Caenorhabditis elegans: one gene and its partners. The protein of the gene in region 2 interacts with the protein of the main gene of each other region in a pairwise test. Each region holds a gene or a part of one and is shown on either strand. Other genes may lie near its edges.

Region 1 (7,178 bases), on a different chromosome or scaffold from region 2:
TTTGAGCAAATGTGTAGATAGGTATACTCTTGCCAACCTAGTGTCAGTTCACTCACTATAAAAAGTATACTATCCTACCATAATCTGACAGGATCCATCAGGATCTGTCACTTGATATTAACTTTTACATCAAACGGTTCTTGTCGAAAAACAAAGGGATCAATAACTCAAAACAACACCCTTCCGCAAAAACGGAATAAAAACGTCTCGAAAAAAGATGGATATACACGAAAACGACGTTGGGGGGAGACGTCGAACGAAGACAAGTTGACATTTGACGTGCGTCGCGTGTCAGCGTAGCGGTTCCTTCGAAACAACAGAGAAAGACCCTCTTCATTTACTCGAAGAGACCTAGAGACATCAGGAGATGACCTTTGCTATGTGTGTTTGTAGCAGTGGAAGGAAGGAAAGGCCAGATGTTGTGAGGACGTATCATCTGCCAGAAGAACTATTAGACATTGAACAATTGAAGGGAGACGCAGGGATTTTGCGCTTTGAATCCGCATTTATTGCGATTGTAATGGATCCTTCCCTCGACCACACAGCCAGCCGATGGAAATGACCGTTGTTGTTACGGCTTTGGGTCAACTCAACCATATTGTTATTATTATTTTTTTTTTAAAGTGAGAAGCGGGGAATGATTGATGAGTTGAAGAAATACATAGTGGTCTAGAATTTGAATCAGAAAATATACAGTAAATTAAGTGCTAAATCGAGTATCTTCCACTCAGTTACGGAAAGGCCCATCTGCGTGCCTACCGTGGGTGTAACTCGTTTTGAATACCGAGTAACGGCCTAACGACAAATTAGACGTAGACGGCCCAAAGGAAGGTATTTATGTTTCTACACTGAAGACCGAAAGTAAGCTTCTCAGTAATGTTTTCATACTATTGTCAGATTCCTATCTTATGCGTGAGCTATTTGATGGTACCTAGATAAGGGTAGATTTATGCATTTACGGTTACCCTATTTTTTTGCGAAGGAGTTGAAAAGGTTACGATCATCAAGTTAAAGGAAATCTGCCAAACCCTCAGCTGCATCGAATGCGTAGGAATGTAGGCATATCTCCATGACTATGTTTACATAGCTAGATTTATAAATAAATCGATTTACGAAATTCTTAGCTTAAGAAATATTTAACACCTAACTAGGAAATAAAATAAGCTTCAGGGTATTACTGAGTACTGCTTGTATCTCCACTTTTCCAGATATTTCAATTTTTTATGAAAGTTTGACCGTTCTTATCGCAGCCTTGAAAATAAGTGTAAAAAATCCCAAAACAGTTCATATTTATTTAGGAAATTTTTAATTCTGTATTTATTGGAAGAAAGTATAATTTGTTCTACATGTAGAACATCCCATTTGATGGTTATGATATATGTTTAAACGAAATCTGTGGGAAATCAAGCATGTTGTAAAATATTTATTAGCGCCCGTATCATACAGAAAAGTGAATTGATGATGATGGTAACAGGGTATTTTATCACAGAGTAAAAGAGAGTGACGGAGCAATAAAAAGAGCTCGTTTTCATTCCAACCCTCAAATCGATATGCATCACATTAGAATCGATCATTGAAATAGTCAAAACGGTCGAACTGAAATATAATATTTGATTTGCATATTTAGTTTTTGAGGTCAGATAGTGAAATTTTAATTTGCTGTCAAAATGGCAATTACTCAGTTTTCACCTTTCATAATATTGGAAGTCGATCGAAAAAATATTTTCACAGTTTTATATTTAACTGATGAATAAATATTCAAAAATTGTAGAATTTAAACATGCAAGAATGCACCGAGTTTCTCAAAAAGTTCAATTTTTCAATAATTTGGCAGATTACCAAAAAACCGGCAATACTGCAAAAATTACATTTCTTCCGCAACTCACATCATAATTTTCCTTGAACAAAGCATCATCCAACGCGTCCTCACTTTTGTGATAAGTATCATATTCAGCGTTACCAATTTCCGCTGCAGGTGTGTAATCTTTTTGTTCCAATTTCGAAAAGTCAATGGATCGGAAAAATGGATGGGCGTGAAGAACAGTGAATGAGCATAAACGATGGGTTATGGAAACTGCTAACATCTGAAACTAATGATATTAACGTTTTTTTCCGAGTTTCTGAACTCACTCTATCCATAAGGTTGGCGAATTCACGTGAACATCCTATAGGAGTACTGTAGTCAATGAATCTGAAAAGCATAAGAGATTATTCTAAAATCTGTGATGTGAACTTACTTTAAATTAGCATGATGTGTGGCTTCTGAATTTGGATATGGATATATTCCAGTTAATAAAATATGCAAGAGTACACCTAATGACCACCAATCAACATAATGAGAATATGTTCCACCAGATGCCACGTCAGGTGACATGTATTGTAATGTTCCACATATTGTTCCGGTACTAGAACCTTGTTTCAGCTTTTTTGCCAAACCAAAATCAATTAGCAAGGCGTGACCCCATTGATCTAGAACTACATTTTCCAGTTTTACATCTCGATAGATCACGTCATTCTGGTGTAGGAAATCTGAAAATAAAACACCGAATTTCTTACATAACCGTTATTATATTACCAATAGCTGATGCTAACTCTGCTCCAATCAACCTAATAGCAGCTTCTGAAAGAGATCCCCGTTGCCTCCATACTGAAAACAAGTCACCAGTTGAACCAGTTGGGTACTGTAGTAAAGAATAGAGATGAGTACGTGTCTGCCACGTAGAATAAGTTCTGGCGATGAATGGATGAGAAGGAAGAAGACGCTGAAAATGTGAATGATCGGATGTAACGTCTTGCTGGCAAACCTGTATACTAGCTTCTCGTTTGACCTGTAAAACGGCTCGTTTTGAAATGATCTCCCTTTTTTCTTGCATTTTGATAGCAAACTTCCTCTCTGAATCATGAATTGCACTGGCACAATAAACAACACCAAATGAACCACGACCAAGCTGTCTTTCTAACTGAAATTATATTTCATTTTGAAAAAAAAATAAGTGAATGAAAATAGTTCCTACCACAAAACTTTTCTCGTTGATAACACTTCGAGTTGGAAATTCAGGTAGGAAGAGATGCTCGAACCAGGGAATTGCGAACTCTTTTCGTGTGGGTTCTGCTGAAAAATTGGGAGGCCAGTTACTCTAGGAAGCTGTTAAAACCCTCGGAAATGGAAACTTTGATTTTTGGGAGTGTGGCTTCAATATCATGTTACAGTGACTTATCTTAAAACGTTATCCTCTCGAGTGATAGCCACGTGTTCCAGAAGACCTCCTGGAACCTCCTGGAACACGTGACTACCTCATGATACAGCAAAACATACGTTTTTCATAATCACCATAATCGTCTACAATGAATCTTGGCACTGGTGGACGGGGATCAGCTGCAAATTTTTAATCTTTTTTTTTTGTCTCTAGAATTTTTTTTCTTCAAAGTTGGCTTTCAGAAGTTCACATCAGCAAGATTACCATTATTGTGTATTATCAAATCCAGAGAGTACATCACAAATCACCTGATGTCATTGATCTTAAGTGTGTCCCGCCGAAATACGGATCATTATCAAGATTAAGAAGTGGGCTGCCATTGAGATGTACTCACAAATGTAGGTAAACAATGCTCTTTTTTTTTAATATTGTGGAAATCAAATCTGGAGATCGTACCTTCTTCAACTTTATACGTTCTTCTTTTCAAGTGAGGACGACATTTTTTCAGTTTTTGTAGACGAGATTTGAAGGCGAGCTGAAGAATTGGGGGATTACTGTAGTCTGATGTTTGTATAGAGAAAATTGATACTTCTTGATAGTGTAATGATCAGATCAAGAAGACATCAAGTAGACTTTAGAATTAAACATTTTGAGTAATGATACTAGAGTGTAATTCTTTAAGAAAACATGCTATAACATCAAAGCACACCAGATGATAATTTTTCACGAAATGAGTATGGCCCACATTTTTGGGCCAAATATACGGTGTGTTTTTCATAAATAGTATTTCTCATGATTCATATGATTTGTAAAAGTTTATTTATTGTTACTGTTTTATTCAATTTTTTAATGAAAAAAAAACCATATTTTTATCGAAAGACTTCAAAAATCATAATTTCACAGAATCTGCGCAGAAAATTTTAGAAACTACAGTAACCTTTGAAGGCGCACACCTTTTTGCCTTTAACAAAAAATTGTCGTGCCGACACCGGGTACTGATTTTCTGACTCAAAAATTATGGGGTTATTCAAGTAGTGTCGGGAAAAAAAAAATTAAAAAGTGTAGAAAAATTACGTCACACATGTATTCAAGTAAAAAAAACATGTATTTAAATACATTTGTGACGTCACAAATGTATTTAAATACATTTTGCTACATTACTTGAATAACCCCATAAATTCGGAAATATCGCCTATTTCAGAACTCAAAAGGAGCTGAAGAGTCACTGTTTGGAGAGGAAACTTCCTTCCTTGAAATGACTGATGCATCATCATGATGACTTCTCAGACAAACCATATCATACTAACTCCTATTAAGTCATAGTTAGGCAGCTCTAAACATAGTTAGGAAGAGTTATTCAGAGTAAATCAGATCGACAAAGTACAATCAGACCAATTCCGAGCTAGGCATAGTTAGGCAGATCTAGGAATGAGCTAGGCATAGTAAAGCGTGGTTACTCCGAGTAAAACCACACTTGCACCGAACTGCGGTTAGTGTGCTTTACCATTATGTAACTCCGCTTTTTACTCTGAGTTAGTATGATATGGTTTGTCTGAGTTTTTGAATAATTTTTTAGTTAAAACAAAGAAAATAAGTGGATCTTTCAAGGTTTTTTCAGTTCTCAGTCACCTTTTGATATTCATTTTCAGCCTGCGGTTCTCCAATTCTTAATCTTTTCTTCGCTGGTCCATCTTCATCGTCGTCTAGATTTTCCTCATTTCTTCCAATGTGATGATGACATCCGGGCCGTTTTCTAGTCGCCACGTTACCCATTATTGCTGCTGTAGCAGCTGTAAGCCGGCCAGACGGTGATGGCGAGGAAAGTTTTTTGGAAAAACAGACAGTAGGAGTGATTAACAAGAAAACGGAATGTCCCGTGGTTGTGGCGGAATGATGAAAGAATTTTTGGGAGCAGGAGGAGGAGAAGAAGAAGGACACAAACATACAGGAAAAGAGCAAACAGAGACAGTGAGCAAGTGTGATCAGGAGCAGGTACACGGATTATAAGCACTGAGACACATTGACTCGATCAAATTTGAGTACTGATCAGACGGTGGACTTTCGAATTGACCCCACTTTCTCTAATATTAGTACAGAGTCAGGAAGCTTCAATTGAAATCATATGGAAAATGAAGCAGAGCTATAGTAGAAAAGAAATTCACAATGAAATGGGATTCAAAATTGCCTCAATTCAAATTCTCACACAAATTGCTTGAGACAAAAAAGCTCTTGAAATTGGATACTTCCACTTCTTCAGCTTCATACCAAAAATGAAAACTGCTCAATGGGGCGAGATTACTTAGAAAATGGAAGGGGAGCCGAGTCTTCAAGGAGCGAAAATCGATGGGCGACAGAGGGTGAAAAACTGAGCGGAGAGCAAAATAGTTGGGAGGGAACTAGTAGTTATTTATTCCAAACTATCCTATTCGATATTTTGTATTCAACTGAAAAAAAACCTAAGCCGAATTGTACCTTCAAAAAAATATAATAATCTCAATGTTTTGTCGAAATTTGAGCACAAAACTATTGTTTATAGAATGTTAAAATTTATATATAGTACACGTGAATTTTGAAGTTGAGAAATCAATGGGCAAATTGAAACCGTATTGTGTTAATTTATCATTGGATAGTTTCACGAAGAGTGAGCAGAAAGTCGAGGAGATTGTTTTCCAAATCACATCCATCCAAAATTCGCTTTTCGCAAGTCTGAAATTGAACTTTCATTTCTATTTATGTATTCATCTTCCACCAACCGCAACCAGTTTCCCCATTACTCCAATATTCTCGTCATTGATAACATCTTCATCCATCAACTGTTGGAAACAACGACGAATGAAAGCAACACCAGTGCACGATTTTGTGATATCCTTTGTCAATGCAATTATTTGGGGAACATCAGCAGTCAGGATTGATTTGCAAACGTTTGAAATGAGTAAACTGTCCGAAGAACCACGGAGATAGCAATTTCGAGCATTGTCATCGCCCTGGAAATATAAAGTACTATTTTTACACAATATTTATAGAAAAAACAACTAACACTTTTCAAAATTGGAGCCAATGACTGAAGTGTACATACAGCTCGTCTCAAATCACCTTCTGAATATTCCATAACTTGTTTCAGTTCATCATCACTCATGGGAGTTCCTTCTGCATCACAAATTGTTCTCAATCTAAAAACACCGAAAGTTATAAAAAACACTTAATTTTGAAATTTCACCTTTGAACTTGAATCTCGGCTGGAAGTGATTTGAATCGGAACTTGGCACAACGGCTCACAACTGGAGGAATCAATCGGGAAACATAGTTGCAGATGAGAATGAAGCGAGTAGTTTTGGAAAAATCTTCAATAACTCTGCGCATTGCTGCTTGTGCTTCTCGGGTCATCGCATCAACTTCATCAAGTATGATAATTTTCAATTTGAGAACATCTTCCCTATGGCTGTGGCCCAAAGATGACTTGGAGAAGGATTGAATCTAAACAGGAAACGTTTTTATAATTATGGAATTCTTAATTAATTAAAAATCAGTGGCAATCTTACTTTTTGACGAACAACTGCAATACCACGCTCGTCCGATGCATTCAAATCAAGAACCCTATCGCTGAAAATATAATTATTGGAAAAAATTATCACCCAGTATTTCACTTACTGGAAAATATTTTTTGGGAAGAGTTGGCGGCAAAATGCAAGAGCTGCTGACGTCTTACCAGTACCTGGTGGTCCATAGAACAAAAGATGTGGTAACTGAAAAATTAAAACGATTAGTTTGAATAATTTTTTAAGCAATACGTCTCTTCCTTGAAGCGCTCCTTTCAGCATTGTGACGACTTCATCCTGGTATGCAATATCGTCTAGCGTTTTTGGACGACTGAAAATTTGAATTTACTTTGCAAATCGAAAAACAAAAAACTAACTATTTTTCTGTCCAGGTGAGCACCTTTGGTCTTTTATTGTCAACTTCCATTGGTTCTTCCATTGTTTC
Region 2 (6,545 bases):
CTTGGAGGTGCCGCAGCAGGGAAGTCTCCATACAGTGGACAAGAAGTTGATCAAGTTGAAAATACTGGAACAACTGTAAAACCATCGGCTCTTTTGAGTGTTTTAAGCAAGGCCGACACAGGATTCAACCAAGTTATTGATCATTTTGAGAACGGAACTCCACCAGAGGCAGCTTTCATTGATATTTTGGAAGTGGCTCTCGGATCTCAAAAACTAGATTCACAGGCTAAATTGTTGGGTCATGTTGATAGAACAATTGGATTAGATAATCTTCAAAGACTTCAAAGATGGGCTAATACTGCTGGAGCTATGGATGTATTCAAAGATCAGGTACAAACATTTTAAAAAATCTTTAAATTTTCGAAAAAAAAAAACGAATTGAATGAATCAAAAAAAAAAAGCCAATTTTGTTTCAGTTCGTAAAATTCGCCAAGAACTTCCAACCACCACCTGATCTCTTGCCAACAGTTCCTCCACAACTTGAATATCTTTTCAAAACTTCAGGAAAATAATTTCTTCTCCTCTTTCACATTGAATTCCCCTAATTTATTTTTTAGTTTTTATTTTACAAAATTCAATTCACCAGAGTCTCACTACCTAACTCATTCCCTTCTCATAGTTTTATTCCCCACTTTTTTCTTCCTTCTTCTGCATTTCCACTGCATTTCGATCGACCTCAAAACGGGATAACTCACATTTTTCGAGCAACTCGAATTTGTTTGCGAACACTCTTTCTTTGTCTGTTCATTCTTTTGATTCTGCTCAGTTTTTTTTGCCATCCACTATTTATTTATTCAGATTGTTGTAAAACAAATTTTGAAGAAAAAAAAACATGATAAAATAAAAATGAACAATTACTTGTGCTTTGAATTTGAGAAACGAAGAGGGACAAGTTCCAGAAAAGGGACAACCGTAGGAGGAATGAATGAATGACAAAACGAGTGAAAAAGAATGGAAGAATTATGAATGAAAATTCTATGGCTCTGAAAACTCATGAAAAATCACAGAAACATTTAAATAGACATCAATCAGCAAAAAAATCTACAAAGATTTCAACAGAAATTCACAAAAGACACTCTAAAAAAAGGGCTGGAGACAAAAGAGATTCATGTCAAAATTAGGCAATACTTACTAGAAAAAACATGAGTATCTATACACAATTTACACAATTTCTATTCGCTTTGATCATCCATCAAATCTGCTTTCGTTCTCTCAGCATTCTCAATTTGAGACATCAGATTTTCCAGACGACGCTTGATGCGTTTCTGATCATCAGCAGCGCACTGAATTATGATCTTCAAGAAGTTTTGGCAGGTGGCTCCAGCAGTTTCTTCGTACGAACAGGCGTTCATGTAGGTTTGTAGGCACTGAAAAATATTAGTTCATAATCAATTTATAAAGGAAAAAATTCTTTGAGCTGACTGAGAATATTCGAAATTTAAAAAAGTTTATTAATTGTTTGTTCCTCAAAATTGGTTCACTCGCATAATTATTCGCATAAATGTAGGAGGTTTAATTCAAAAAATTTGAAATGATTTTCTAGTTTTCATTATCTGTTTTTAAGTAAAAGATCAGGAATTCAACTTTTGTTACATATGACAAAATTGCAAGATTTCGTTGTAGATTTTTATTTACTTGAACTAAAAAATTCAGTAATTTGCCACAATTTCTAAAATAGTCTAAATAATTTCTCAGGTTCAAGAAACCTCAAAAGAAAAAAAAACATACCAGCTTAGCCTTTTCAATATTCGAATGCATCATTTCTCCGACTTCATCGATCATCAAAGTTGCATCTTCCAGTGCTTTTTTCTGTTCTTCATTTCGTGGAGTTTCGACAACAACTTGAACTGTCTTTGTTCTTTTTGTCAATCGGTCAGTGATTGCTTCAATCTCTTCACGATCACATTCTTCCAGTTTGAACATGCAGTTATGAACACTGATTTCTCCTAGAGAACGAAGAATTTGCTCTTTTTCCATTTCGAGTTCAGCAGCTTTTTTTCTGAAAAAAAAAACATAATTTGAATGATTATCAGATAAGAATATTGCGAAACTTTTCTAAACCATTTCCTTATCAGCAATAAAATTTAATATAATGCTCACCTCAACTGCTCAACTTGTAATTCAATTTTATCCAAAGTAACAATTGTCTTGGCATTGAAATCAACAACACTTTGATTACGTTGAAGTTTCTTTCCTCTCTTTGGCTTTCCTTCGGTGATTGGGGAGGTTAGTGGAGATGGGTCGCCGTCCTGAAGTAACAAATGTCAAAACGTGTAATTATAATTCAATTCGACTCACCGTTTCTTGTTCCGGACATAACTCGCAATTATTCTTTCCGATCGTGATCTTGGCAATGTTCTCTTCAAGGTTCTCATCACCCTTTCCAGAATCACGACTACCTTTCTTCTCCAGTGGTTTCTCCTTCTTCTCATATGGCAATGGAATAACTGCTGGTCTCTCGGGTACCTCAGGTTCCTTTGGTTCACGAGTACGAGATGGTGGTCGAGATGAAGCTTTTGTTGACGGAGGAGTTGTCTGACGTTGTTGAGCTTGTTGTGGTTGTTGCTGAGAATATTGTGGAGGAGCTTGATTCTGCTGAGAGTTGCGTCTTAATGTAGAAGTTGGAGATTGAGTTGATGTTGGTGTTGGACTTCTCCTGTATCCTTGCATCGGTGGGTTTGGCGATAGTCCTCCATCTCTTCCGAATCTTGGAAAATCAGGGAAATTAGAACTTCCATTTGAGAATCCACTTGGGAAATTTGGAAACGACGGGAAATTCGAAGACCATTCAGAATCGTTTGGGAACCCAGATGAAAAACTGGGAAAGTCCGGAATAGGACTACGAGATGGGAAGTTAGGTGAGAATCCGTTGGAATGATGCATATTGGTATTCACGTTTGGAGCCTGCTGGTATTGTTGCTGAGATTGCTGTTGTGGTTGCGGTTGAGGTGGCTGCTGTGGTGGTTGATTTCGATCGTTGTCAACAGAAGACGAGGAGTTACTTCGACTATGTGATTGATTCTGACCAAGTATTTTGATTGGTATGTTCTGAAACATGCTGAATATTAGGATGGTAGAAATGAAAGTTAGAATCAAAAAAGATAAGAATGAGTGAGTTGGTTAGTGTCTCTTGTGTTTCTGTTTGATAAGAGTGACTCCTCCCACTTTTTTCTCGTTTTTCAATCATATTTCAGCAGAGGCAAATGAAAATCGATTTCGAAACTGTATTTTTCGAATTTCCATCTCTACTACTAAATGTTTCTCTCCTCCGAACTGTTGTCCTATTATCGACAGGTCGAATGGAACGTTTCAATTTCGATGGATTAGCGATAGAAATGTTGAGATAAGTCGGGCAAACGATTTGCATGTTCAAGGCCATTTTCGCACCCATCAAAAAACGTCCAGAATATTCTTTTTCTCTTTCATTGTAATAGTTGAGTTATCAGTGTGTAAAAAATCCTAGACGCAGGCACGTTAAGCAGCTGTCTTTCTTTTAGAGACAGGGCTTTATTGAAGGGAACAGAGGATAACAACACAATTCTCGTGGCACAGTGTAATGTTTTTTTCTCAAAATAAAATAATTTTTCTGCGAAAATGTGCCAGATGAGACTCAATTTTCTGGAAGAATCCGAGGCTCCGTGAGACAGAAAATTATGAAACACAATAACCCAGTTTTTTGTAGACCTCCAGGTTAGACCAGCGTCTGAGTCTTTTGATATACCAGTTCTTTTGTTTGCAGAAAAGTGTTAATCAGGAAAATTTACGAGAGCAAATAATGTCTGGTACGTGAATGAAGCAGCTGATAAAAATTGAAACTTACCACGACTGGCATTGTTAGCAATAGGTCAAGTAGGGTAAAATAGGGGCAATATGGGATGTGAGAAGGTCGATGTCTCGTTTGCTTTCAATATGCGCGGAACACTCGGACCGGTTCGCCTTTTCTGGAGGAGAAAGAGGTGGGAAAGCAATGCAGGGGAAAAGCAGCAGCGACACAGACACCGAAACAAAAAGTTTTGACAGTCAGTCACTGGTGGCGGTTTGACACAAACGGTCTGAGTCTCCTATTCTCTCGGAAAAAAGAGGCAAAGAAAAGAGAGTTACGAAACAATTGATGGCGGGCGCCCGGCCACGCCCATTCAGTTCTCCGCAGTTCGGGAGTCTTCGAGAAGAAATATGATGGGAGACAGTGTATATGGAAACGAGACGCAGAGATTGGTTTGAGAATCTAGACAATCAGTGAAACGCGAAGATTCAGAGATGAAAATGATAGGCACTGTTTTACGAGGTGTTTTGTTGTTTTTCAGCTTTTCCAAAAACATAAATTTTGGCAACTATAATATATTTTTCACTGCGAAGCTGTGCTGCACCTTTTATTTCTGTGTCTACTTTTCAAAGTGAAAATTTTTTTTTGATATCGATCATTTTTTCGTAATATTTTTCCGATTTTTTTAAAGTATTAGAGAACCCCACGTCGCCTGCATGACTAGCATAAATTTGAGCTACATCTTCCTCTTGTCAATGACTGCCAATTTAACGATGAAATAAGAATTGTTGAAATCTAAAATCTGAAATGTGCAGAACCGAAAAGTTAGAAATGTAGAAAATAGGTGGACACCTAGGCAGACAAGAATGGGGTAGGCGCATATGCCTAAAGATATGTTATATATCCCTAAGTTTGATTTCAAAATTTTGACATCTAAACGGTCGGTATACAATTTTTATGTAATAAATTTAATTTAGAGAATATAAAAAACTAGGCTAATCACATCTTCCATAATTTATTAGTCACTCTTATCAGTAGACAGAAAAATCAGACAAAACCACAATTTTCATCCCTCCACAAGAGATCTTCATAGTTTGTTTCTATGTGTTTCCGGGGAAACGCCCAGACAGGATAGAAGGATAAGATCTCCATGAAATGGTCAACGAACACAATGGTCCAAAAGGAATGATAATATCAAAAAGAATTTGAAATATTCTACTATCAGCAAGAATGCCTGAATCTAATATTGAAATTGAACGCAGAAAGAGTTTCTTTGCTGTATTTTTTATCGGGTGACTAACCACAAAGAACCGTCGACCCTAGATGGTCAATTGATTTTATACGGCAAAAGACACTGTGATGAATCAATTATATAAGGGTGTGGTCAAGTCGTCGGTTAAACTTCAAATTGTAAGATAGAGAAACAAAAGGAGAAGAAAAAGATGAAGAAGACGAAGAACATGTGATGAATGAATGGAACCGAATGATAGGACGGGTGGGGTCGGTGTCCAAACATTGAAGATGCTACTTGCTGTGCTTTTCGCCTTTTTTCTGTTTGAAAAACCACAAACTAAATTAGTTTAACGCCTTATCCGTGTTTGTACCGCGCAAATAAATGTGCAAAACGATGGTTTTTTGTGTTGGACGAGAATGTTCTATTCACTGTTTCATAATAGGATTTTTGAAATGAAAAAGCGTGCTTTCAGACAAAAATACGGATGAAAACACTCCTAAAATCATAATATGATTTTTTTTGAAGTTTTGCATCAAAGTGTAACATTTATAGTTGTATAAGTAATTTAAGAAGTTACGCGAATTTTTGCCACAAATGTTCTCCTAATTTTGAAAACTCACTTTAGGTTTTTACAGAAATCTACCGTTGTATATTAGCACGTGGAAAACTTCAGAAAAAGTTTCGAGGAAATATAAACCTTGAAAATTCTATTTCATCAATTATAACGTAAATAATGTGCAACTAACTTAGTTATCAGTTGTTCTCTGCTATCGTTTTAAAATGTGTATCCGGAAACCGGATGTTTTTTCAAAAGACCTATATGAAAATAGTTTTCACTTGTCACTAATTCCAAAAACCAACAAATTGACTTTAATGATATCAAAATCTAGTGAACAGTAACCAGGTACTTCCGATAAAAAAAAACAATGTTTTTCATATTATCTGTACAGTAGGCGTCACGTCATCTGTTCCCTTGTTGTGTCGGAAATCTGACTCATGATTTCCCCTTTTCTCACAACTTTTTCTTTCAATTTTGCACCTCCACCCACACATACTCGTGTCTGTGTTTGTACAAACAATCAGTGATAGGCAACCAAATCGTTCGTATATTTTGATGTCGGAGAAAAAGGACTGAAGAATTTATGGGGAGAAAATGTTGACACAAATGTACGTACAAAATTAATGGTTTCAAAATTTGACTCCTCCTTTCTTGAACGGAATCGACAAGTGCCTGAAAAAATTGGTACTTTCTTGGGTACAAAAAAATAAATAATACTTGAAGTTGCAAGATTTGTAAACAGGATTGTAGAATACCATATCAATTTTATTCCGATCAATTTGCAGAGAAGATACCAACACTAGTCTGTAATGTTTTATTGAAATAATTGTTCTAATTTTAATTTTATTCCATAAGAAATTGACTATCCTGATTAAAGTTAAAAAAAAACGTTAACTTACGGAGAATCAATAACAAAGTTTAGAATAAAATTCCAGAACTCTGCGGCTTCTGATGTATTTTCTGGTTGTAAAAGCACCACCGTGAGCTGA
Region 3 (8,802 bases), on a different chromosome or scaffold from region 2:
AGTTGAAACTCAAATTGTGTCAAAATGAACAAATTTTGAAATAATATTTTTCAAAAATACACATAAACTTTTTTATGGCGGTTCAAAATTTCAAGAAAAATTACCCAATTTTAGCTAAAGCTTTTATTTTGCCAGCCTTTTTGGGCCACAGTCGTCGAATCAGTTTCTTTTGAATTATCATTGTTTATTGCGCATTTTGGCATTTTTAATTTTATAGGTATCCAAAAACGACAAAAATGACTAACATTCAATGTTAAATGACTAAAAAAAAGAATTAGCTCTAATTATGTGATTTTTTTTCCCAATTTTCAAACTGCCATAAAACTTTTTCGAAAAAATATGGAGCACTCTCATTACAAAATTTATCGACCAAGACACATTTTGAATCAATACAAATAGAAAATCAAGGTTGATACCGTTTTTTTGTGGCGTACCGAAATCTTGTTGACAATATTCTAAGCTTTAGCTGAAAATAAACCGTTCTTTTTCCAAAACTCACTATCAGCCCGAAAGCGATTCTCCACTTTTAATTAGTGAGAAAAAAGTTACCCTATCAACTTTGTTCTAACAACTTCCTTATTAACACATCCCCTACGCTTCTCTGCTTATCATCCTTCTCTAACGATCAAATGTGCATGATCATTAAAATGTATCTCTCCATTAAATCAAAACGATAAGAACGCCGTCTTCTCCATTTTCGTGACCGGCCATTATCATTTCCACCCAGTCAGCCGCATTATGTGTACATCTTCATTTCGCGCGCTTTTCCCAAACATTTTCCCAAACATCTGCGCGCGTTCACTTTGAAGAAATCAACAAAAATTGATTGAATACAGCTGTGGTGTTACAGCAAACGGGGGGGGGGGGGGCAACAAACCGAGGTCCAAGATGCTTTTCGCCGTTGGCAATCGGGGGGGGGGGGTACCTCTAATTTTTTGTCAGCTGGCTGGCTGGCAGCGTGATATCCTCTTACCCCTTGGCCAGAATTTCTCTGCTCCTCATCTACACCCCCTCGAGCCTATCAACACCCACATAAACTAAACAACAAATATTGCAGTTCAGGACAGTGAACCCTCCTTAGTGCTCATACTTAGTGCAATGATGTTAGCATACACACACATATGTGCGTGTCTCCGTCTTATATTCTTATTCTCTAGCGATTTCAGTCACTCGTCCTCCACTATTTAATTGAGAGCTCATATTTTCCGTTTGTTCAGTATCTTGTTCTCAATTCAAATTCGCTTGACATTTATACCCTCTTCCCATTTCAACTAATTCATTTATCCAAAATTCTTATGACGTCACTAAAGTATCAAGAGAATGTAATCTACTTATAATTCTTCGTGCAGTTTAAAAATGTTAATCATCATCTCGTAATAGTTATTTTTGATTTATTATCTCCTTCTTATCTCTACTACAAAGCACGTTTATAAAACATGTCTTACTAAGTAAGAAAGGGTTTGAAGATTTCACCGGACTACGAGACATGTATCATTTGAAAGCCCCTGAATTGGCCCAATATGAACTCTAAGCTACAAATTTTCAGAAATCTCATAGATGCTCACAGCAGCATGGCTCACCATCGGTGCTCTGGGGACATGTGTGGTATGGTAGCAGGCAGAAATTATGTTTTTGTCAATACACACTTTTGTAATATCATAAAAAGCTCGGAAATTTTCTGATTTTTATTCAAAAATTATTTTTATTTGTATATTGACAAAAAGGTTTTTTTTTCAAAAAAATCCCACACGATTCATACAATAACAAAAATAATACACTCTAGCCAAAAACAATTTTTCTATCTGATACCACCATCACACCTGTCCTGAGAGCACCGATAATGCGCTACTTATGGTACTCTGATCATCTTTAAGCTCACCGCAAGATTAGTTCTGAAACATTGCAGCTCAACGTTAATTTGTTCATAATTTTTCAATACGGGCTTCCAAATTAAACATGCCTTGTTTAAAAGTCCGGAGGCACTTTCAGACCTTTTTATAGTTAGGGAATTAGTATGGACAAACTGTTGAAGTCTTGTACATATTTATACATATGAAAAAAATTTTGAGATGATTTAGTGTTTTTCATTTTTCAGTTTTCGACATATGTAGTTGCTTAATGTTTCAAGATACTTTCAAATTTCTAAAAAAAAAACGCGAACATTGCTCAACTCACGTGTTGTCAAAAACTATTTATTTTTCAAATAAAAAACTACTGTTGGTTGGAAGGAAAGCATTTGTCGATCATCTAGTCGGAAGAAAGCATTTTCCGATAATTCAGAACTTTGGAATGTGCTTCGACAACGATGAAAATGCTTTTTGCCTTTCCGATATTTTTCCCCGTGCTTTTTTCACAAGGCGTACAAAGACGAAAAAGCATCAATGGTGGTTAGAGCCAAATCATAACAAAAAAAGTTTCATTTTATATTTCCATCATGCCCACGTACACTCGAACTTACTCCTATAGTAAAAGGTATGGTCCATTTTTCCGATTTCGAATTCCCACTTCACACTTTTCAATGACGTTGTTAAGTTTAAAATTTTCAAATCGCAGTTTTACGGTTTTGTTTGCGTTTTCATAACGCATCATAACTTTCATATCATTTTTATCTACCTCTATCGAAAATGTATAAAAAGTTTGACTATTCGCACAATTTTGCAGAGAAATGTCGGAACGCCGTATCGACGTAAACCGTTCCAACTACTCGGTCATTGACAATGAATTTGGAAATATGCGTGATCGTTTTGAGCAAGAGATGCGTCGTGTTGAGGAGGAGATGAAACGTCTTCGCAGTGAATTTGAAGGTTGGTTTTTTAAATTTATTTTAAACTAAATATTTTTTTCTAATTGTGGAAATCTACTTTTAAGTTAAATATGTAGTCGTCAATTTTTTCCCGTATTTTACAATTAGATATATTTTTCAGCACTTTTTAAAAATGCAACTAGTTAGAACATTAGATTTGATTAGTTTAAAACCAGTTCTCATTACAGTTGAAAAGCTGTATGAAAAGGTTCAAAAATAATCTGATGGGTCAATTTTCCCAACATCTGCCAGAAACTTTCAGGCTAATTGTTCATAATTTCAACCGATTGTAAAAGAACTCGTACTCCTCAACCTATAAAAAACAAATATAGCTAATTTTGTTTTATCAATTGTTTTTCTAATATTAATTTTTTATGAAAAACATCTGACCAAGATTTTGAGCAACATAATAGACAAGATGTTATAGCCAAAAAATTTTCTCAAAAAAGTTGAAGTTTCCGCCTAACATATTTTTTAAAAAGTGTGAGTTCCCAGCTAATCCTTTTTAGAGCAATACAATAATCCCTCCACTACCTTTTTCAAAAAATTTGAGTTTTTCTCCAAAAAATATTTTTCTTAAAATTAGATTTTTCCGCCAAGTTTTACCTAACTCTTTCAAAACTATTTCAGTTTTTAATTTTCAAAAAATTGAAATTTTTAAGTGGAATTCAGTTTCAAATAGGTGTTCTCCATTTTTTGGAATGTTATAAACCCCCGAACTTGTCCAAGCGAGACAACTCACATTCATCCTGTGTTCTTGTGTGTTTCGATGTATTTCGTCACCACATTCCACTTATTTTTCTTTTGTTGTTATGTTTCTCAGTTGGCACGTCGAACTTGGCAAAAAAAAACCTGAGAGCGACAGCTGATGTTTGTTCATTCGTTTTTGAGATTATAAGTAGAGCATACAAAATGAGCACTTTGAAGAATAATGTACCAGGATGATCCGGAAAGTAGATTTAAGAACCAATACTTTCGATTGAAAATTGCGCTACACAGCATTATAGATTTTTGTGTAATAATTTAAGCTTTCTCTTCAATTTCACAAACCCATATTTTACAAAAAAAGTTGTTTTCGAAAACATTCCTGCCTCTTATTTTGGAGAAAAAAGGCCTCTTGACAATATTTTGAGAAAAAGCTGAGAAGAACACAAAGAAAAGAGGACAACGTCATTTTCCGGACCCTCACTGACCAAATTTCATTTCGCGGTGCCTAATGCACTGGAACTGCGCCAGTGACAGCATTCACCTTAACTTTCTTCGAAATTTGTCATTTTCGTCTTCAAATCTCTTGCCGAAATATTAGTGCGTTATCCCCCCGACTACGTCAATTAGTTCAACACTTTAAAAGCAAGGTCACCTTGCGTTTGGAGACAGGGTGATGAGGTTCATGATTGCAGGCTATCGTCCAAACGGAGGCCCACCGGCTGCCATCTCCAATCAGCCGTACAACGCCTACTCGAACACTTCTTCTCACCACGAGACTTCGAACCGTACTGGTGGATTCGGATCTCCACTTCCACCACCATCTTTCCACGGTTAGTTTGTACACAGTTATTTGAGATAGAAAAAAAATTTGCTGAAAGGTTTCAAAGAAAAAAAAACTTCCCAACTTTCCACAACACAACAGCATTTTTTTGGTATGCTGAAAACTGCTCCTTCTAGCATGATAATCCAATTCTTGAATTAAAAATTATACATAGTAAACGTGTAGAATAATATTTGGTCAATTTTGAACAAGATTTTTATTTATTTAGAAAGTTCGAGAAAAACCAGAAATAGTGCCCGAAAGCTGCCCTTATGTCGTTAAATTTTTTTCGGCAAACGACAATTTTCAGACACTATTTAAAATATTATTTGGAACTTTCTACAAACATATATATATATATATATATATATTTAATATTGAGCTTTTTTTCCTACATTCGTATATTTATTTTAATTTTAAAAAATGGATATTCATATTTTTTGAAAGATTTTCTGCAAAGCCCTTATGAACACCTCCAATCCCATTGTTTCACAGCGCTAGAAAAAAACCCAAATGGATGGTTGCAAAATGAAGAAATTTTCAGTGGCTGCATGCCTATGTGTGCTTAGCGTGGGGGCACTTCTTCATCCTCCTTTTCCCTCTCTTCCTTCCTTTTTTTGTCGTCGTGTTCCAATAACTGGCCATGCAAAAAAACATGTTTTCTAAGACTCGTTTCTTGTTCTTGATGGCTTTTCAAAACAGGATTTCTTGAATCGGTATGAAAGTCAAACGGAGGATTCGTCATATTTTGGCGATAACGATTCGGAAAATTTTCGAATTTTAGGACGGGAGGGAGAAAGGAAATAGCAAAGGGACGAATAACGCATCATTCAGCGTATGAAATTATCTGCAGCCGGCATCAATTTTGAATTTTCACTCACTCCGTTTCATTTTCATCCATCCATTCGTCATTTTAACTCTTTCCCTTACTATTATTCGCCCATCATCAATCAGAGTAAAACTCAGAATGGGCATGATATGAGCCGGCCAACTCACAAACTCTTTTTGTCAGTTTGGTTTGACACAGAAAACAAGGACAAACTAAGAGCATACTTGTAGAAAAGTAATGTGTCGTTGGAAATTCCCAATTGCACAATTGAGACGGGCTCACCAGATTTTTTTTTCGTCAAAAATATAGTTTTTTTTTCTGTTTCGTAGTGACCTTTTCATGCAGATTTCAACTTTTTAATATCAAAAGTGGGATTTCGCAAAAAAATAACTAAATCTCTAAAATGTTTTAGACATTTTAAAGATTTTCCTAAATGCCTAGTTTAAGTTAAAATGACAAATTTTTGAAAACAATTAGAGCTTTCCTGCAAATTTGAAGCCTTTAAATTATTGAATAAAAATATTTAAATCTATATTAAAAATTCACACCATAAGAAAAATTTTAAAAAATTTGCCCGGAGGTTTTTGTGCATATTCCTCATCTACCAATGTTTATGTTTTCATATTAGGTTTTTTTTCTTTTGACCAATTTTGCTTATTTATCGATGGTTCCCAACAACACTACGTCGGTATTAAATTTCAGCGCAACATTTTTTTCTTTTTTGCCTTTCTGCGGGTTTCTGTGAATATGTTCTTTTTGTTGTGAACTCGCAAAATATATTCAAAACCAAATTATTACACAGTAGTTTTATGCACTCAGCACATCCTGAGAGGTCGCGTAGGCAGCCGCATAGCAACATTTCGGCAACAACACTGCAACCTCGGCGACGAGTTTTGCTCTATTTTCTATTGTTGTGCTACGTCGCATTCGCGTTTTTCATATTATTCACTTTTTTTGTTGCAGGACCCAGCGACTTGATGGCTCATCGTCCAACCTACGATCCATACTTGGACAACTTGAAGAGCCCACTCATCAAGGATGAAAGTGATGGAAAGACTCTTCGTCTCAGGTACTTTTTTGAGGCATTTTCAACTCTTAGATTAAGTTAAAAGATTCAAATTTTATTCGAAAAATATTAAAAATATAATTTTAATTCTGTATTTACCGGCCTCAAACTATTCAAAATAACGAACTCAAATTTTATAAATATTCTGAAAATTATCTAAATGTTTCCGATTTTTCAAAACTTTCAGACAAAGTAGTGAAAAATCTCCAAAAGTTAAAATCTTTGAATTTTTGTGATGTTCAAATAACTCGTCCAAGTTCAAAGCCAAACAATGTATGAATGAAAGTATTGAGGAAAAAAATCGCCTTAACTTTTTCAAAAATCAATTTCCAAAGTTGAAAAAATATTTTCAAAGTTATTTTTTTAAATTATACATAAAAATTTTACTCTTATTCCAAGCATGAATATCAATCACATTTCATTTTGGTTAGCTCTAAATTCAACAAACTCATAAAATTGAAATTTCGAGTCAAAAAAATCTGTACCATAACCGAAAAATTGATAAAACTTATTTTTTACCAGTCAAGAGAAAAACTGAATTTTTTATTTAACAAAACTGAAATTCCAGATTTGACGTAGCTAACTACAAGCCAGAGGAGGTTACCGTCAAGACTATTGACAACCGTCTTCTTGTCCACGCCAAACACGAGGAGAAGACCCCACAACGCACCGTTTTCAGAGAGTACAACCAGGTGGGTGTTTTTTATTTTTATTTTAGAATTCAAACAGTTCTCTTGGGGCTAAAAATATGGAGCGAGGCCCCAAGGTGTCACTCTTCATTCAGTTGCATTAATCTATACAATCAAATTTCCAGGAATTCCTTCTTCCAAGAGGCACCAACCCAGAACAAATCTCATCGACTCTTTCGACTGATGGCGTGCTCACTGTCGAGGCTCCACTCCCACAATTGGCAATCCAGCAATGAAACCAAAAATATCGCCGCCTGCTTCCTCACCAACCCGAATAACGCAACAAAAACTTTACATTTTTCTAATAAATCAACTTTTTCTTGTAGTGTAAATCATTAAAACTTGTAGACTCAACCATAATCCTTTCTTTAAACATGTTTACGATTCATTTTCCAATTCAATCCGCTTCATTTTTCAATACATTTAATACCTACAAATCTTATTGGTTGTTCATCAATTTTCTGGAGTAAATGTTCATCTTTTCATTAAATCTATAATAAGATCGCAATTTTATCAAATGATTCGTTTTAACAATTGATTGATACTGATGGAAAGTGTCAGGCAAAGCAAAAAGTGTATAAGACTAGCAATACATCACTGAAAATGGAGAGAAAAAGAAACAAAAAATCGATTATGATAAAAATTGTTTTAAAAAGTTAAAGAGTTCCCCGTGCATTATATGAAAATAAAAAGAAAAAAGAAAAGAAACACGTTTCTGATCATTCAATGAAAAAATAAATTTTCTAGCGGAAAAAAGCGAACTGGGAAAAAATGGAATTTTGATAGAGTTTGAAAATTGATAGTAACAACGAGAACAAAAAGTAGGTATTCGAAACTCAGAGTTCGCGCAAGCCAATTTGAAAATGTTTATCCGTAGCTTCGAGATGAAGAAAAAAAAAAAGAAAAATGGAGGCTGGCCAAAATGAGGGAAAATGGAAAACCATGTCAGATGTTGAATGTTAGCATGACCGGCTGAAAAAATAATAATTCAAATTTTTTTGTTGATTAAAGAGTTTTAGAATTCAAAAGATTATTTAAAATAAAAACTAAAACGAGGTCTTAGTGTAGTTTTTTTTTAACATATTAATCCAATGTAATCATCATAAAGCTATTCAAAATTATATTTAAAACATGTTTTTTTTTGATATTCAAGTATTCAGGAAAGTTGTTTTCAATTTGAACACAAGTTAACTTTTATTTTGTAATTCTGAATAATTCTTTGAAAAAGTTTAAAAATAGTATTATTTAATGCTGTTCAAGCTATTTTGATATACTGTTTAAAAAAAAATTTCAAATTTTTTAAATAAAGTTTTTTTAAGGAATTATTTTTATAGCAACAACAAGTTGTTGAAAATAGTCTGAATATAATATCAAATTAAATTCACTCGAATTCTTAATAAAAATTTGACATGAATTTTCCCATTTCTTTTTCACAGCTTCCAGTCAACGTTTTCTAGTCAACTAGTCAACGACAAACTGACAAATCTTGAATAAAAATGAGTTAATTTGAGAAGTTTCAATCATTTGTGAAGATTTTCAAAACCTTTTCAAAGCATTTTTTTTAATTATAAAATCTGAGTTAAAAAAAAACCAAAAAATCTGTTAAAAAAAGATATTTGTCTCTCACTACATAAAACTACACTAAATTATGTCATTGTTAAATATAGTATTTTAATAAAAATATTCCAAAAATTAGAATATTACCTTATGATCTCCAGTACAAGTTTCCATTCCAAATGACCTATACTGAGGCTCTCCTTCTTCCACCAACGAGTATGCATTTTTATTCATCAGAACCCGATCACACCATGCGGGTGCCCTAGTCTTCATCAGAGTTTCGGAATTTTCTGGATCTTCACTCCACGGGTATGTTGGAGGGAAATTTAT

Evidence for each region.
Region 1: the proteins of unc-23 (region 2) and F31E3.2 interact in a two-hybrid assay, tested with the Caenorhabditis elegans proteins (one large-scale study listed by BioGRID).
Region 3: the proteins of unc-23 (region 2) and hsp-25 interact in a two-hybrid assay, tested with the Caenorhabditis elegans proteins (one large-scale study listed by BioGRID).

The regions. Positions count from the first base shown.
Region 1 is NC_003281.10:6,972,254-6,979,431, reverse strand, and holds F31E3.2 (Putative serine/threonine-protein kinase F31E3.2), read right to left. Parts: upstream 5,095-7,178; 5' UTR 4,971-5,094; coding exon 4,827-4,970; intron 3,733-4,826; coding exon 3,654-3,732; intron 3,377-3,653; coding exon 3,317-3,376; coding exon of another isoform or gene 3,291-3,316; exon of another isoform or gene 3,113-3,290; coding exon 3,015-3,112; intron 2,961-3,014; coding exon 2,805-2,960; intron 2,763-2,804; coding exon 2,576-2,762; intron 2,530-2,575; coding exon 2,238-2,529; intron 2,192-2,237; coding exon 2,131-2,191; intron 2,085-2,130; coding exon 1,836-2,084; 3' UTR 1,597-1,835; coding exon of another isoform or gene 1,561-1,596; 3' UTR 1,412-1,560; downstream 1-1,411. Other genes in the region: rfc-4 (Replication factor C subunit 4), read right to left, coding at 5,817-5,903, 5,951-6,181, 6,235-6,367, 6,415-6,671, 6,737-6,797, 6,846-6,940, 6,986-7,064, 7,111-7,172.
Region 2 is NC_003283.11:8,933,906-8,940,450, reverse strand, and holds unc-23 (BAG domain-containing protein), read right to left. Parts: upstream 4,093-6,545; 5' UTR 3,833-4,092; coding exon 3,821-3,832; intron 3,237-3,820; exon of another isoform or gene 3,058-3,236; coding exon of another isoform or gene 3,049-3,057; coding exon 2,299-3,048; intron 2,250-2,298; coding exon 2,101-2,249; intron 2,000-2,100; coding exon 1,729-1,999; intron 1,368-1,728; coding exon 1,173-1,367; 3' UTR 767-1,172; downstream 1-766. Other genes in the region: T19A5.3 (DUF148 domain-containing protein), read left to right, coding at 1-330, 417-512; H14N18.2 (DUF2726 domain-containing protein), read right to left, coding at 6,186-6,228, 6,274-6,360, 6,456-6,545.
Region 3 is NC_003284.9:6,033,096-6,041,897, reverse strand, and holds hsp-25 (SHSP domain-containing protein), read left to right. Parts: upstream 1-2,253; 5' UTR 2,254-2,434; coding exon 2,435-2,472; intron 2,473-2,661; coding exon 2,662-2,804; intron 2,805-3,955; exon of another isoform or gene 3,956-4,038; intron 4,039-4,196; exon of another isoform or gene 4,197-4,203; coding exon 4,204-4,341; intron 4,342-6,123; coding exon 6,124-6,229; intron 6,230-6,794; coding exon 6,795-6,918; intron 6,919-7,040; coding exon 7,041-7,151; 3' UTR 7,152-7,435; downstream 7,436-8,802. Other genes in the region: ipp-5 (putative type I inositol 1,4,5-trisphosphate 5-phosphatase), read right to left, coding at 7,861-7,887, 8,620-8,802.